Caenorhabditis elegans: one gene and its partner. The protein of the gene in region 1 purifies or fractionates together with the protein of each later gene. This does not show direct contact. Each region holds a gene or a part of one and is shown on either strand. Other genes may lie near its edges.

Evidence for each region. Proteins that work in one complex are often made in the same cells at the same time.
Region 2: the proteins of nhr-216 (region 1) and pipp-4P fractionate together in Caenorhabditis elegans (co-fractionation; one large-scale study listed by BioGRID). This does not show direct contact.

What each region holds. Positions count from the first base shown.
Region 1 is NC_003283.11:5,353,489-5,360,668, reverse strand, and holds nhr-216 (Nuclear Hormone Receptor family), read left to right. Parts: upstream 1-1,796; coding exon 1,797-1,832; intron 1,833-2,443; coding exon 2,444-2,563; intron 2,564-2,612; coding exon 2,613-2,713; intron 2,714-3,900; coding exon 3,901-3,975; intron 3,976-4,068; coding exon 4,069-4,127; intron 4,128-4,184; coding exon 4,185-4,474; intron 4,475-4,517; coding exon 4,518-4,625; intron 4,626-5,464; coding exon 5,465-5,584; intron 5,585-5,628; coding exon 5,629-5,724; intron 5,725-5,792; coding exon 5,793-5,893; intron 5,894-6,140; coding exon 6,141-6,259; intron 6,260-6,311; coding exon 6,312-6,463; intron 6,464-6,511; coding exon 6,512-6,607; 3' UTR 6,608-6,616; downstream 6,617-7,180.
Region 2 is NC_003281.10:2,817,178-2,825,461, reverse strand, and holds the start of pipp-4P (Phosphatidylinositol-4,5-bisphosphate 4-phosphatase), read right to left. Parts: upstream 6,185-8,284; 5' UTR 6,181-6,184; coding exon 6,015-6,180; intron 3,755-6,014; coding exon 3,530-3,754; intron 1,995-3,529; coding exon 1,753-1,994; intron 918-1,752; coding exon 799-917; coding exon of another isoform or gene 795-798; exon of another isoform or gene 792-794; intron 1-791.

The sequences.
Region 1 (7,180 bases):
TCCGAATCTTCAAATATGTTTTCAGGTTCAAAATGTTTTTTTTTCTACTTGAGTATCAATTATGTGCAGAAATAGAAGGGATTGGAAAAATTTGTTCTCAAGATTTGCATTTAGTTATTTTATTTATTTTTCCTTCTTTTTCCTTCTTTTCTTTGCTAGACAAAACATACACCCCGCCAGACATTCATGCCGCCTTCCGGTTATCAGCCAGCCACCCACCTAGATTCGAGATTAACTTGTTATCCATTTTTTCAGAATAACACCAAAACACGAACACTTGTTCCAATTCTCGGTGGGCTGCTAAAACAATATTCAGCCAAGTAGTAATTATGTGGAGACCAGAAGTCTAAGTGTCTACAGGTTTTTGAAACTTGGCGCTGCTCGAAAATAAGTCCTTATCTGAGACAATGATCAGTCTCTGTCTAGATATGGCTTTTGTTTCTCAAAAATTTACGTAATACAAATTTTAAGTCAGACAGAACAGAATCAAAGTGGTCTCTGAAATTTTGTTTATTTTGTTTATTTTCACATTCTGCTAGAATTATTAATCTCATAAAAATTCTGACTTTTGATAAAAATAAAGATTTCAGATTAAAATTGAACTTAGAACTTTTCAAATATTCAAAAAACTCAAAATTTCAAAACTAGGTAATTTGTTTGAGCCTGAATTCAAAAAATTCATTAAAAACTGACTATCAGAAAAAAACGAGACCTTTCCTCATTGTATTGTCTTGTGTTTTTTTAAATTTTATTCTTTATTTCACTTTCTTCAGAGGCCAAAGCCGCACCGTAATCAAAATTAATTAATTTAAAAAATTAGACAACAAAATTTTTGACAAATTCAAAAAGTGTTTTTCAGTCATTTTCGGTTATTTCGGGGCATTTTCCACTTTTTTATACAGAACCCCTATTGTCGATACTTCTAATCAATATTTTAAAAAAATATTTATTAAATCTCGTAACAAAAAAATCAAAAGCTGTATATATGAATGCCTCAAAAAATGCTCACAATTAGCAACTATTGCAAACTTTTTCCAATTTCAGAACTATTTTGGTATTTTTCAATTCTAAAGCGGCTAAACATTGTTCTGTTCAGAAATATGTAATAGATTCATTCAAATATAAATATCAAAAAAAAATAGTTGTATTCATTTTTTTTCCATCTTAGCAAGTACCAATCGCGTATTCTTCCAATACATTAAATCAAATGAAAAACCACAGACAGCACAAATATTGACCCTCTTTTCAAATCTTGATATGGAAAATCCTAATCTTTTTTCAAAAAGTCCAAAATGTCATACATCACTCTTAAGAAGTTCTTAAGTTCTGCTCCACCCATTCCAAATCCCTTTGCATTTTCAGAACAGACAAACCAACCGAATTATCAAATTATCAAGCATATTAGGCTTCCTTTCACATTTTCATCATTTTCACTTCCGATATTTTTGCACATTTTTTGTTTTTCCTGAGCTTTACGCTATTCGCAATTTTCTCAAGAGGGTATGACTTTCTGAGTCATTTTACTCATTTTACTCATTTCTCATATATATTTGACTCCAATTTTTGAAAACGAATTTTGAAGTCGCGCGGGATAAAAGATACAATTTCTTTGAGATAACATTTGTTTTCAAGAGGATTGAGCTTTCTCGGAAGCGACGAAAATTAACCATAACCCAATGGAGATAGACTCCACCCACTTCTCATCTGATCATTTATCGTATTTTACACATTCAAAAATAGGCGACAAGAATCTTCTACTCTAATTTACTGTACTCTCACTGATTTCTGTACTAAATATGCAGAGCAGCAGCAATATTTATATCGATCCAAGCGTTTGTTTATTGCTTAAAGAAAATACATTGCAAATACTGAGAAAAAGAACTTTCTTTTTTAAACAAGAATCAGAAATACGAATAGAATTTAACAATAATCCAATTTCTAAAATTTCAGAAAAACTTTAAAAGTTAGGCCCGATTGGAAAATGCCAATTTTTCCCGTTAAACTGGGGAGAAGGAAAACTTAAGCCTAAACCTAAGCCCAAAGCTAAGCCTAAGCCCAAGCTCACGCTCGCCACTGACGCCAAGTCTAAACAGGAACCCCCTGAAAAATAAAAAAAAACGGAAAATCCTAACCCTAAATATCGTCAGTGGTGACGCCAAGCCTAGGCTTAAACATAAGCCTAAGTCTTTTTAAAACCTAAAAACCTTTTTAAAACCAAAACCTAAGTCTAAGCCTAAAGCTTAGCCTAAGCCTAAGCTTAAACCTAAGGATAAGCCTTAGCTTTTTTTAAAGTCAACGGCTTCGTCATTATTAACACATCAAAAAATGTTTCGTTCTGTGTTTCAAATTTCGTCAAAATTATTTGAATAATTAGAAAACCCTATCTCCACTCTTAAAAAAACCTTTAAAACTCTAATAAGCTTCCAGAAACATAAATTTTCAGATGTATCCCCGGTACGAGTATGCGAATCTGGATATTTCCAGTTTCGAGCGGTCCCCCACATTTGAGCAGCCTCCAAGTTATCCAACATATGATCAACATGTTCAGTTCTTGCCAGAAATCGTGAGCTTAACCAATTTTGCCAGCTCTGCAAATTCAACACATTTTTCAGGAAAACAATGGGCCAAAACAAAAATGTCGGGTTTGCAATCTGGAAGCTCATGGAATGCACTTTGGAGTTCAAACTTGCCGGCCGTGCGCCGCATTTTTCCGGTAACAATAGGTGTAACTATTCACATTTTTTCGGTTTAAATTTGAACTAATCTTGCATGTCATTGTTTTTTTATTCAGAATTCTCTTTGTTTTCTCTTTTTCGTTTTCTATGTTTTCGCAAACCAATGATATTATTTTGTCAGTCCGTTCATATTCTATCACGCTGCGATAAGTTTCAAACAGAGAACAATAGGTGTCACGAGCCGACAGTGGTGAATTGGTATCTAAACAGACATATTTCACAATAATGAATTAGGCAATTTACAAAATGAATAGTTACTCATACTCGATTCTCAGACGTCTGTGCAAGTAGTCAAAACAGTTATTAGTGGATTTACAATAAGGTCTAAACCCGAAAGAAAATTTTATTATGAACTTCTGTAATGTAAAGCATTTTCAAATGATAAAACTGCCCAGTACAGCTTATTAAACGATCAAAGGAAGTTATCAGGTGCTTCACTATCAATTTTGTTCTAAAACATTTGAACTAAAATTTTAATCTGGAAATTGTTTTCTAGGCATATGTGATTCAAAAGTTTGAAGAACAATTTATGCATTTTTTTCACGTTTAAGGATACGGTAAAGTGACCATTGGGGAATTGATTTTTCAAAATTTTCAGCCAAAGTTTTGGGAAACTTTCAAAATATCTATACTATGAAAGCGGCTTTAAAAAATTTTTTCTTGAAACTCTAACTTTTTTTAAATTAATTTCAGTACCCGGAATACAACACAAAATTGCAAAAAAAAAAAATATTTTTGCGCAAAATATAAAAGTTTGGGCTTGGGTTTAAATTGTGCACAGTATGAATCTAGAATGGCCAATGTCCTGTCTAATTTTTGTTTCAAAATTTTTTATTTGAAAATTTATATAGAAATTTAGAAACATGCTTGTACTTTCTAATGACAAAGTTAGTTCATTTAAAAGTTTAAAAGAAAATTTGCTCAAAAACATTTTTTTTTCAAATATTTGATATTTTTGATATGAATTCTGTGACTAATTGAGACGGACTCCATGTTTTTCATACACGTGGAGATAAGCCGATAGTATAGCGCTGAGACATTTAAATCCGATTTGACTTTCTCTTGTCCCAATTTTTAAATTTGTTTTATTTTATTTTTTGCATGACATCAGTTCTTTGAACTCACTATCAGTCTCTAAAATAATAGGTTTCAACCTATATTCCAGACGGATTGTTGTACTCGATCTCAAATACACTTGCGTGTCAAATACGCAGAAATGCAATGTCGACGGGCGTGGAAGGTAATTTATTTTTAGAGAATTTTTGGATACCTAATCCTTAAGACACATACATTTTTATGAAATTCTGATTCATAATCTTTTGAATCTTTTCAGAAATGTGTGTCGCGATTGTCGCTACAAAAAATGCATTGCCGTCGGAATGACAACTGATAGTAAGTGTGTCCTTCTGACTGCCCCAAATCCTTTAAGTACATACAAATAATTTCCAGATGTCCAATACAATCGCGACAGCCACAACAACAAGAATTCTTCTGGTTCCGGTGGTGGACGGGGACGAGGTAAAAATAAGAGAAACGTCATGATGATGCTGACTGACGAGGAGGAGGCAGCCGGAAGTAGTACTGTAAAACCGGGAGGTTCGATAAAGGGGGACGAATCTTTTTGTAGTGATGGCTCTTCATCGACGCGTGGCAATCCTCAGTTAGATCCGGATGCGGAGAGACGGGACGATGAGGAAATGGACAAAATTATTAGCGATTTGAAACATTTATTTGTAGAAGTTGGATGGCTTTGAGAAAATTAAACAAGATTTTTGATTTCAGTATTCACCTCCTGAAATGATAAATCAATGCTCAATTAATCAACTTCAAAGACTTACTCATTCTTTGGTTCTGTATAGACAGAATCAGCAATCAGCTAACCAAATAAAGGTGATACGTTCGAAATGTTTAAAATATATTGAAATTGTGGTATTATACGCTGAAAGTCTTACTTGAATTTAAGATTTCAATAATGATTAAACAACTTTTTTTTGGCAAAATCGGTGAAATGTAACAGGGTGGGCGGCAAATTTTTTTGTCGACAAACTTGGCACATCGGCGAATTGCCGGTTTGCCAATTTGACGGAAATTTCCAATTCCGGCAATGTGCCGGTTTGCCTATTTGCCGGAAATTTTTATTTTCGGCAAATTGCCGATTTACCGTTTGCCGAACATCAATTTGCCGGAAGTTTTTAGAGTGATTTTTGTATAAAACGGAAACATTTTAAACTGGGCGTTTTTGAAATTTTTTCCCGTTTTTAAGATATTTTTATAGAACTTGCTCACTTTTCAAAGTAGATGTAGGAACATTCCAATGATGCATACAATTTTGCCGATTAAAATTGAAATTCTGAAATTCCCAAAAAAAATGTGCAAAACCACAGTTTGCCGAAAACTTTCGGCAATTGCTGCTTTACCGGCAAATTCGGCAGATCGACAATTTGCCGGGTTGCCGATTTGACGACAATAGCTTGGCACAACAAAATTTCATGGAAATTACCAAATCTGGATACTCAAAGGCTGGAAAATGTTAAACCCGATCTTTGCTCAGAATGTTAAACGTTCATAGAAATTTTCTGAAATTTCAGAAGAACTTCAAGCCATTTTAAATATGAAAATAAGCTCACAAACATAGTTAATTTGTGATGAGCTCATTGTGCTCACAGAGGGATTATGCGCACATCGGGAAATAACTATTCCAATTTACAGAAATTCATTCTAATTTTCAGTTTTGTGATACAATAAATGCCTTCACCGATGGCAAAGCACATCTTCAACGAAAATCCGAAAAATTCTCAAAATGGGTAAAATGTGTAGACTTTTTCGATAAGTTGTCCGATGAACAAAAAGTGAGATATTATTCTTAAGGTACTAAATTAAACAATTTTTTCAGATTGATACTGTTAAAATGTCGTTTACTGTGTTTGATAGACTTGAACGCGCTCAAATGTCTGTGAAAATTTTTGGCGAGAAGAGTATTACTGAAAAAGTAGGTTTTGATTGACTTAAGTTTGACTTAAGCTTGACTTAAGTTAATAAGGTAAAATTTTTTTCCAGAAAACCACGTTATCTTCTTATTGTGCTGTTGACTGGAAAAATGTCAAAATCAATCCAGAAACTGCAATAAATACTGAACAAGCAAATAATTATGTTAAAGCGTGAGTTTTACAGCATTTTCCCTATTAGACTTTCACCGCCAACGCTCTTCAAAGTCTTATATTTCGGTTCTCTTCAGTTTTACCAAAACATGTTCTACTGTCGAAATCTAGAAAAATTTTTTGCACGTATTTTGTTAGTTGGCAATTTTTTGCTAAAACCCAATAGAAACTATATATCAACGGTCAAAGTACATCATGTGTAATTGGGAAAATACTGTATTCATTTCTTAATGAACAATTTTTAAAGTGAATTCCACGCTCATGTTGATTCAATTATTGATGAAGTATGCAAACCACTTTATGAACTTCAACTTTCTGACACTGAAACTGCATTCATTTTGGTACAAGTTCTTGTTTATCACGGAGGTTTGTTCCCTTATAGAACCAATGTTCAACCCTTTATGTAATTTGTCTTCAGGTGAAAAAGTGACTCCTGAATTAGTGAAAATGTTCGATCAACTTCGTGAGACTATTGCCACAGATCTTCATCTTTATTATACAAAAGAATCTCAAACAGGAACTGATACAAATCGAATACTCAAAATGATGAGCGTTGTAAACGCTATGAAAGTATGCTGACCTTAATAAACTTTTAGTCATATACTATAAAATTTTCAGAAAATTCACGCAGATCGTGTCAGGAAAAGTGATTTAATACAAATATTCAATATTTATAAAGTATCTGAAAAACGAACCGATTTTAATTGTAGCTAATTTTTCTTTTTTTTTGTATTTTTTGAATATATACTGTGTTTTTGTGTTTTCTTTTGGTGTGTTCTTTTTTTTCTTTTTTTTTTGCAATTTCCCAACAATTCATTTTTCTCATACCATAAAACGTTGTACTATTAATTTTTTTTGTTAATTCGAAGCTCAAAATTTGAGTTCAAGTTAAAAAAAAAACTTCATGTAGAAATTTTCAAGTGATCTTCAGAAAAGGCGTTTGTGGTCGGTTAGAAATATATTCATGGCAAATACTCATTGACTCCAAAATCATTGACTACCTGTTCTCATTGTCTACCCTTGCTCATTGACTACCCTTGCTCTTTGTCTATCTCTTTCTCATTGACTACCTGTGCTCATTGCCTTCCTGTTCTCATTGCCTACTTGTTGCTCGTTGACTACCTTTTCTCATTGCCTACTCTTTCTCATTGCCTATCTTTTGCTCATTGTCTACTCGTTTTCTACATCAGTCAAGAGGCACGTACAAGGACCGTATTTCAAGAATACATCAAAGGCACATATACTCAATTTGTTCATTTCTTCAAAGGGTATACATATTTACAATCT
Region 2 (8,284 bases), on another chromosome or scaffold:
AAAATTTCACGAAAATTGAGCAATGTTCCGATTTTTTATTCGAAAATCCGTGAATTTTCCAAATTTTCCACTTAAAAATCGGAAAATTTCGAATTTTTCAAAAAGAAAAGCTGGAATTTTCAGATTTTTCAGATTTTCGAAATTGGAAAAAATGTAAATTAACAATTTTCATATTGAAAAATTGTAAAATTTTTATATTTTTTGATCAAAAAATTGAGAATTCAAAATATTTTCAATTTTTCGAATGAAAAACTGAATTTCCGGAAAAAATACGTTTTTTTTTCTCACAAAATACGAGAACATTTCAGCTTTTTTGACTAAAAAATTAACAAATTTTCAGATTTTCTTACTTTCGAGAAATTGTTTTCGGTGGAAAAATTCGGTTTTTATTTTTTTAAAAATACAAAAATTTGACGTTTTCCAGCTGAAAATTACTTTAAAAATTATATTTTTCATCCTTGAAAACCTTGGATATTTATTTTTTTTTTAAATTTCAGATTTTTTAGCTTGAAAAACCTTGAAAATCCCTAAAAATCGAAACATTTCGAATTTTCCGATTTTCAAAATAAAAAAAAAGGAAATTTTCAGAAATTACAGTTTTTCAGCTCGGAAAACATAAAATTTACAATTTTTTTAAAAATTTTTCAGTGAAAAATATGAACTTTTTTTTTGAAATTTTCCGTTTTTCGGCAATTTTTGGGTGAAAAATCTCCAAAATTCCGCTAAAAACAATGATTTCTCCATTGAATTTTCATAATTTCCACTGAATTTTCAACTCGAACCCACTCAACTCCTTACACTGGCCCAATAATTTCCGATTTCCTGCACGTATAATAATTGAATGATTTGTAAGCTGTATAAAGAGCACATCCGTAGAGCCCAATCAGAATCGGCACCATGTAGATCTTGTTGAATGTCTGAAAATACTCGAAATTTGCCTGAAAATCCGAAAATTTTCCAATTTTTCCACTTTTTTTTCTTAATTTGAGCCAAAAATCTAATAAAATTGGGGCTTTTGTAAGCTTTCTCAGAACGATTTCCGATAGAAAATATTAAAAATTACAACTTTTTTCCAATTTTTCAGCTCAACGTTTTCTGGAAAATTAAAATTTTATAGAAAATTTTTCAAATTTTTGTGAAAAAATGCTCTTTTCCATTTTTTTTTTGGTCAAATTTGAGCCAAAATGCATTTTGAAAATTTAAAGATTTTTATCATAAAAATCTGAAATTTTCAGATTTTTGTCTGGAAAATTAAAAATTAAAGCTTTTTCTGCAAATTTTCATTCAAATTTCTCCTTTTTTTTCAATTTTTCAGCCAATTTTTCTGAAAAAAAAAAACATTTAGAAAATCAAAAATATGTTTTTTACTGTAAAAATCTAATGGATTGTTATAAATTTTGTCTGAAAATAGAAAAAAAAAATTCTAAAGTTTTCAGATTATTCTCGAAAAAAAGTCACATTTTCCAACAAAATTATTAAAAAACTTGCTTTTTACTGCAAAAATCTATTGAAATTGAAATTTTTCAGAGTTTTTACCGATTTTTTTTCGCAAAAAAATACAATTTGAAAAAAAATGTTTCAGCTCGAAATGTTACAAAAAAAAATCGAAAATTCCACAATTTTGAGCACAACATTTTTTTTTTGAAAAATTATATTTTTCAGCTCAATCTTTCTCGAAATTCTCAGAAATTCCGCGCTCCAAGCTCAAAATTTCACGAGAAATTCAAATTTCGCACTGAAAACTGGCCCTACCGATGCATTCGTCAACATTGTCAAAATAACAGCCAACACAGCAACAGTTGCAGCAAGAATAAAGAATAAAAGAGCACGACGACGAGCAAAACTTCCGACAGTCGAATATTTCTTGCAATGTGGACAATTTGCCAGCGCATTTGTCAGTGTATTGAATAGGAATATCTCATTGCAATGATTACATTTGACACGGCAACTTCCTGTTGGTGCACGAATTGCTGTTCCCGGGTCCCGTTGACCGGCTGCAAAAATTGAAAAAAAATTAAAATTTTTGTGGAATTTTGAAAAAAAAACCTTTTTTCATTAAAATCGCAAAAATATTCGATTTTTCTATCAAAAAATCTAAAATTTAGATTCTTTAAAAATTTAATTTTTGAGTGAAAAATTGAATTTTTAGGTGAAAAATTCAAATTTTTAAGTGAAATTTTGATTTTTTTTTTGAAAAAATTGAAAATTCTATTAAAAAAAAAAACAATTTTCCAGCTTGATCAATATAAAAAACAAAGATTTTATTTAATATTCCAAAAAATTTTTAATTTTCAAAATTTTTCCACATATTTATTACGAAAACACGAAAAATTGGTGCACGAATTGCTGTTCCCGGGTCCCGTTGACCGGCTGCAAAAATTTTTAAAAAATTAAAATTTTTGTGGAATTTTGAAAAAAAAAAAAATTTTTTCAATAAAATCGCAAAAATAATCGATTTATCAAGCAAAACAATCATAAATTGAGATTTTTTTAAAATTTAAATTTAAAAAAAAGCAAACATATTTTTTTTTTTCATTAAATCGCAAAATTATCAATTTTTCAACAAAAAAATCTTGAAATTTTGATCTTTTTTTTTAATTGAAAATTCTATCAAAAAATATAAAAAAACAGTTTTTCCAAAAAAAAAAAAAAAAGATTTTCAACATTTTTCCACATATTTATTACGGGAAAACAAAATTCTGAAAATGCGTATCGCGCAACACATTTGACGCGCAAAATATCTCGTAGCGAAAACTACAGTAATCCTTTAAATGACTACTGTAGCGCGGTTGTGTCGATTTACGGGCTCAATTATTAAATAACTGAACTCTTTTAACAAAATCGAGCCCGTAAATCGACACAAACGTTTAAAGAATTATTGTAGTTTTCGCTACGAGATATTTTGCGCGTCAAATATGTTGTACAATACGCATTCTCAGAATTATGTGTTTCCGTAATAAATATGTTTTAAAAAATTTGATATTTTTTTGAAAAAAAAAACTTATTTTTTTCAAATTTTTGTTTAAAAATAATGTAAATTTTCTTTTTTTGAAAAAAATCTGAAGTTTAGAGACTTTTTTGCCAAAAAGATGTCAATTTACAATTTTCACAGGAGAAATCGTAAAATGTCAGTTTTTTTTGTTGTTCAAAACAGAGAAGTTATCCTTTGTGTTCGAAAAAAAAAACTAAAATTCCGGAATTCCAGTTGAAAATAGTGAAACTATAGTTTCTTTTCACTGAAAAATAGTAAAAAACGTTTGAAAAATGAAAATTCAAAATTCAACCAAAAATTCAAAAGTTTTTACTATTTTTCAACAAAAAAACCGTGGTTCTACTATTTTTAACTAAAACTCCGGTTTTCATTTTGATTTTTTCCAAAAAAAGGGAAAAAACAATTTTTCGCCTAAAAATCCTGAATTTCAGGGCTTTTCGACGAAAAAACCGGAAATTTCCAGTTTTTCTAATCAAAAATCGTGAAAATTTCATTTTTTTTCCTTAAAAAAAAAATTCCCGGGTACTATAACCGTACCCAAAGTGATAACCCGACGGCAATTATTGCGTGGGCAGGCAATTCTCGTAGATGAAGCCTTGCAGATCAATAGGCAATTACACGGACATCTCACATATTTCTTTCCGGGTGGAGCTGGACGAATTGGAGTTGCTTCATCACAACTATGGCATTTAACAACGTGTTGTTGATTACGTCCTTCCAAAGATACTGCAACATCACACACACGGCAGAGAACTGTTGCTCCTGCAAAAATTAATTTTTCTTTATTTGAGCACATTTATTTGGGGGAATTTTTGTAATTTTTCCGATTTTTTTAGGAAAAATTCGAAATTTACAAAATCTTTTTAAAAAAATATTTTTTTATTAATTTCGAATTTTTGTCGGAAAATGCTAAAAAAATTCGTTGGAAAATCTGGATTTTTCCCGATTTTTTGCTCGAATTTGAGCCAAAAGTCATTAAAAACTTGATTTTTACTGTAAAAATTCAGAACGAAATTAATTTTTCTTTATTTGACCAGATTTATTTGGGGGAATTTTTGGAATTTTAAATTAGGACTTTTTTGTCGGAAGGCCCTGAAATTCAGAGAATTTTTAGGTGAACACTGCAACTTTTTCCTCACGAGGGACGAGGAAAAGTGGTTTCTAGGCCATGGCCGAGGGGCCGAGAAGTTTCAGCGGCCATTTATCTTGCTTTGTTTTCCGCCTGTTTTCTTTTGTTTTTCACAGCTTTTTCCCGTTTTTTCTTAATAAAACTGATAAATAAATATTTTTTGCAGATGCTAAAACAATTTCCAAGTAAAAAAATTATGTATTCAGTCGGCAAGCAGCGGTGAAAGTGGGCAATGTAAAATGATGGATTACGGGAATACAAAACCTAAACTTTTTTGAAACATGATACATATGCTGCTTAGATGCTGAAATTACCTGATTTTCATAACGAGACCGCTGAAAAAGTTTTGAGGTTTTCAAAATTCAACTTTTTGTGCGAATTAGGTATTGTATTCCCGTAATCCATCATTTTACATTGCCCACTTTCACCGCTGCTTGCCGACTGAATACATAATTTTTTTACTTGGAAATTGTTTTAGCATCTGCAAAAAATATTTATTTATCAGTTTTATTAAGAAAAAACGAAAAAAATAAGTGAAAAACAAAAGAAAACAGGCGGAAAACAAAGCAAGATAAATGGCCGCTGAAACTTGTCGGCCCCTCGGCCATGGCCTAGAAACCACTTTTCCTCGTCCCTCGTGAGGAAAAAGTTGCAGTGTTAGGACTTTTTTGTCGAAAAGCCCTGAAATTCAGAGAATTTTTGAGTGAAAAATCGTAAAATTTTCAGAAGTTTTCCCGGACAATAGAAAGAAATTTGTAAAAAATTTCAACTTCTTTTCACGAACCTAAAAATCACAAATTCCTTAGTTTTACTTTTTTTTTTAACAGTTCTATTAAATTATAAAATTGAATTAAAATAATTTTTTCTGTTTGAAAAAATTGGAATATTTTAGCTTTACAAATAGAAAAATAAAGTTAATTCGAAATTTCATCAAATTTTTCCAAGTTTTAGTTTTAGTTTTTACTGCTGAAATTTCAAAAAATGCCGAATATTTTAAAATTACAGGATTTTTTTAAAAACTCTTTTTCGGAAAAGAAAATCTCAAATTACGGAATTTCAGTTGAAAATATGTAAAATCACGGGTTTTTTTGTTGAAAATAGTAGAAATAGGTTGAATTTTCGTTTTTTAAAACAATTCCAATGTTCAGATTTTTCGAAAAACTTTGAAATTTTAAATTTTTTTCTCCAGAAAAAAAAACGTAACTTTGTTATTTTTCTGTAATCAGTAATAAAGCCTGTATATTTCAGATTATTTCTGTTAAAAAACGCGAAAAAATTTGTAAACTGAAACAAAATCCTGTAATTTTATAATTTTTCGACTAAAAACGCTAAAATATTCCGCATTTTATAGTTTTTTTGAAATTTCAGCCGAAAAAAAAACTAAAAATTGGCGAAAATTGCTGAAATTTCGAATTTGTAAGGTTTTTCTGAGTCTCTAGCTTGGAATCTAAAATTCAAGGGTTACGGTAGCTCCAAAAGTACGCAAACACCGAGGGCTGCGTACTCGGCACCGAATCTTACGAACATTTGTCTGATTTGGCTGGAAAATGGGTTACAGGTGTAAAAAGTGACGGAGAGTTCGAATTTTTTACTGAACATCTGTGAAAATCACAAGTTTTCGAGTAAAAATTGCAAAATTTGTGCATAGCTTCCGCATCTCCGAGTGACAAATGTGCTCTATTGTCAAATTGTTGGCAGAAATACGGTATTTATTCACATTTTTAGCCAATTTAAAACGCTGAAAATGTGAATAAATATCCGTTTTTACTGCAATCAATACGAGTAGAACACATAAGTCACGGAGCTCATTTTTAGGTAGTTTTCGCTCGAAATTTAAGGATTTTTCGGGGAAAAAACTTGAAATTTGTTTAAATTTCCTCCTATGATTAATACCATTTGGTCTTTGTGCTCTTTGAGCAGATTCTGTTCCATCTCCATATTCAGTAATATATTCAGGTTCATCATTTCGATCCAAATCCTCTGAATACATTCCAATACCCTCATCGAGTAATGGTTGATTCTCTTGATTTCGTAGATGATCCTCTGGTGGTACGTCCATTCCTACAGAAAAATTTGAAGATTTTAGGGGGTTTGGCGGGTTTTATACGTGAAAAATGAGCGAAAAATCGGAAAAAATTCAGTGAAAAATAGAGAATTTCATCCTAAATTCATAAACTTTGTGCTAGATTTTGCTTTGAAACACTTAGCCATAAATCCCGAAAATGGAAAATCCTACTTTTAAATGTGGAGTAGCGCCAGTGGGGAAATTGCTTTAAAACATGCCTATGGTACCACAATGCCCAAATATCATAGTAAAAAATTTTTTTAAAAATGTCTAAATTTTATATGATTTTTTGAAAATTGAAAAAAATCTCGAATTGCGTCAAATTCCTATTTGAATTACCGCCAATAGTTCGATGTTCGATGGAGCGCGCTTGCATCATTTTAACTTTTATTTATTAATTTTTCTTATTTTTGATTGATTTTTCATGTTTTTTTGAGTAATTTTACTGGAAATTTAATGAAAAATTCAAGATAAATGTAGATTGTTCACTAAAAATAATTGAAAACAGAGATAGCACGTTTTTCAACGACGTTGAGCCTGAAATAATATATTTAAAAGATTAAGGCCTTAGCGCCCGCTTTTTAATAAAAAAGTACATTTATCTTGAATTTTTCATTAAATTTCCAGTAAAATTACTCAAAAAAACATGAAAAATCAATCAAAAATAAGAAAAACTAATAAATAAAAGTTAAAATAATGCAAGCGCGCTCCATCGAACATCGAACTATTGGCGGTAATTCAAATAGGAATTTGATGCAATTCGAGATTTTTTCAATTTTCAAAAAATCATATAAGATTTAGAAAATTTTTTTGAATTTTTTTACTATGATATTTGGTCATTGTGACCCCATGGGCGTGTTTTAAAGCAATTTCCCCACTGGCGCTACTCCACATTTAAAAACGTGATTTTTGAATTTTGGCTAAATACGAACTGCAACCAATCAGCGAATCGCCCCGCCCACTTTTGAACCAATCAGATTGCGTGGGCGGAGTTTGAAGATGCTGATTGGTCCTCCCGGAGTTCTCATTTTGGAGGGAATTCAGCCAAAACTGAAAATTCTCGTTTTTAAAAGTTGGATTTTTCATTCTTCCGTGATTTTTTTTCCTTTTTTCGTAGATTTTCTGAATTTCACATTAACAGCGAAAGTTCACATAACAACAAAAAAGCCGGAAAAATCACTTTAAAGATCGCGATTTTTCAATTTTGGCTAAATTCGAACTGCGACCAATCAGCGAATCGCTCCGCCCACTTTCCAACCAATCAGATAAAGTGGGCGGAGTTCGCTCATTTTAAAGGGAATTTAGCCAAAATTGAAAATATTCGTGATTTTTTTAACGGGTTTTTTTCCTCGAGGAGTACACGAGCTGCGTAAATCGACACATGGCCGTTTCGCACGGTCATTATTCTATTATTATTGAAATATAAGGGAGCTTGTGAGTGGGTATTATCACAATTTAGAGGAAAAATACAAAATTTTCCGGTTTAAACCGGCATTTCGTTTGGAAAATCACACCAGAAATGCTAAAATCCACTGCAACTTTTTCCTCACGAGGGACGAGGGAAAGTGGTTTCTAGGCCATGGCCGAGGGGCCGACAAGTTTCAGCGGCCATTTATCTTGCTTTGTTTTCCGTTTGTCTTCTTTCGTTTTTCACTTATTTTTTTTCGTTTTTTCTTAATAAAACTGATAAATAAATATTTTTTGCAGATGCTAAAACAATTTCCAAGTAAAAAAATTATGTATTCAGTCGGCAAGCAGCGGTGAAAGTGGGCAATGTAAAATGATGGATTACGGGAATACAAAACCTAAACTTCTGAAACATGATACATATGATGCTGAAATTACCTGATTTTCATAACGAGACCGCTGAAAAAGTTTTGAGGCTTTCAAAATTCAACTTTTTGTGCGAAAATCTCTACTTTTTCACCAAAAAAGTTGAATTTTGGAAACCTCAAAACTTTTTCAGCGGTCTCGTTATGAAAATCAGGTAGTCTCAGCATTTAAGCATCATATGTATCATGTTTCAGAAAAAGTTTAGGTTTTGTATTCCCGTAATCCATCATATTACAATGCCCACTTTCACCGCTGCTTGCCGGCT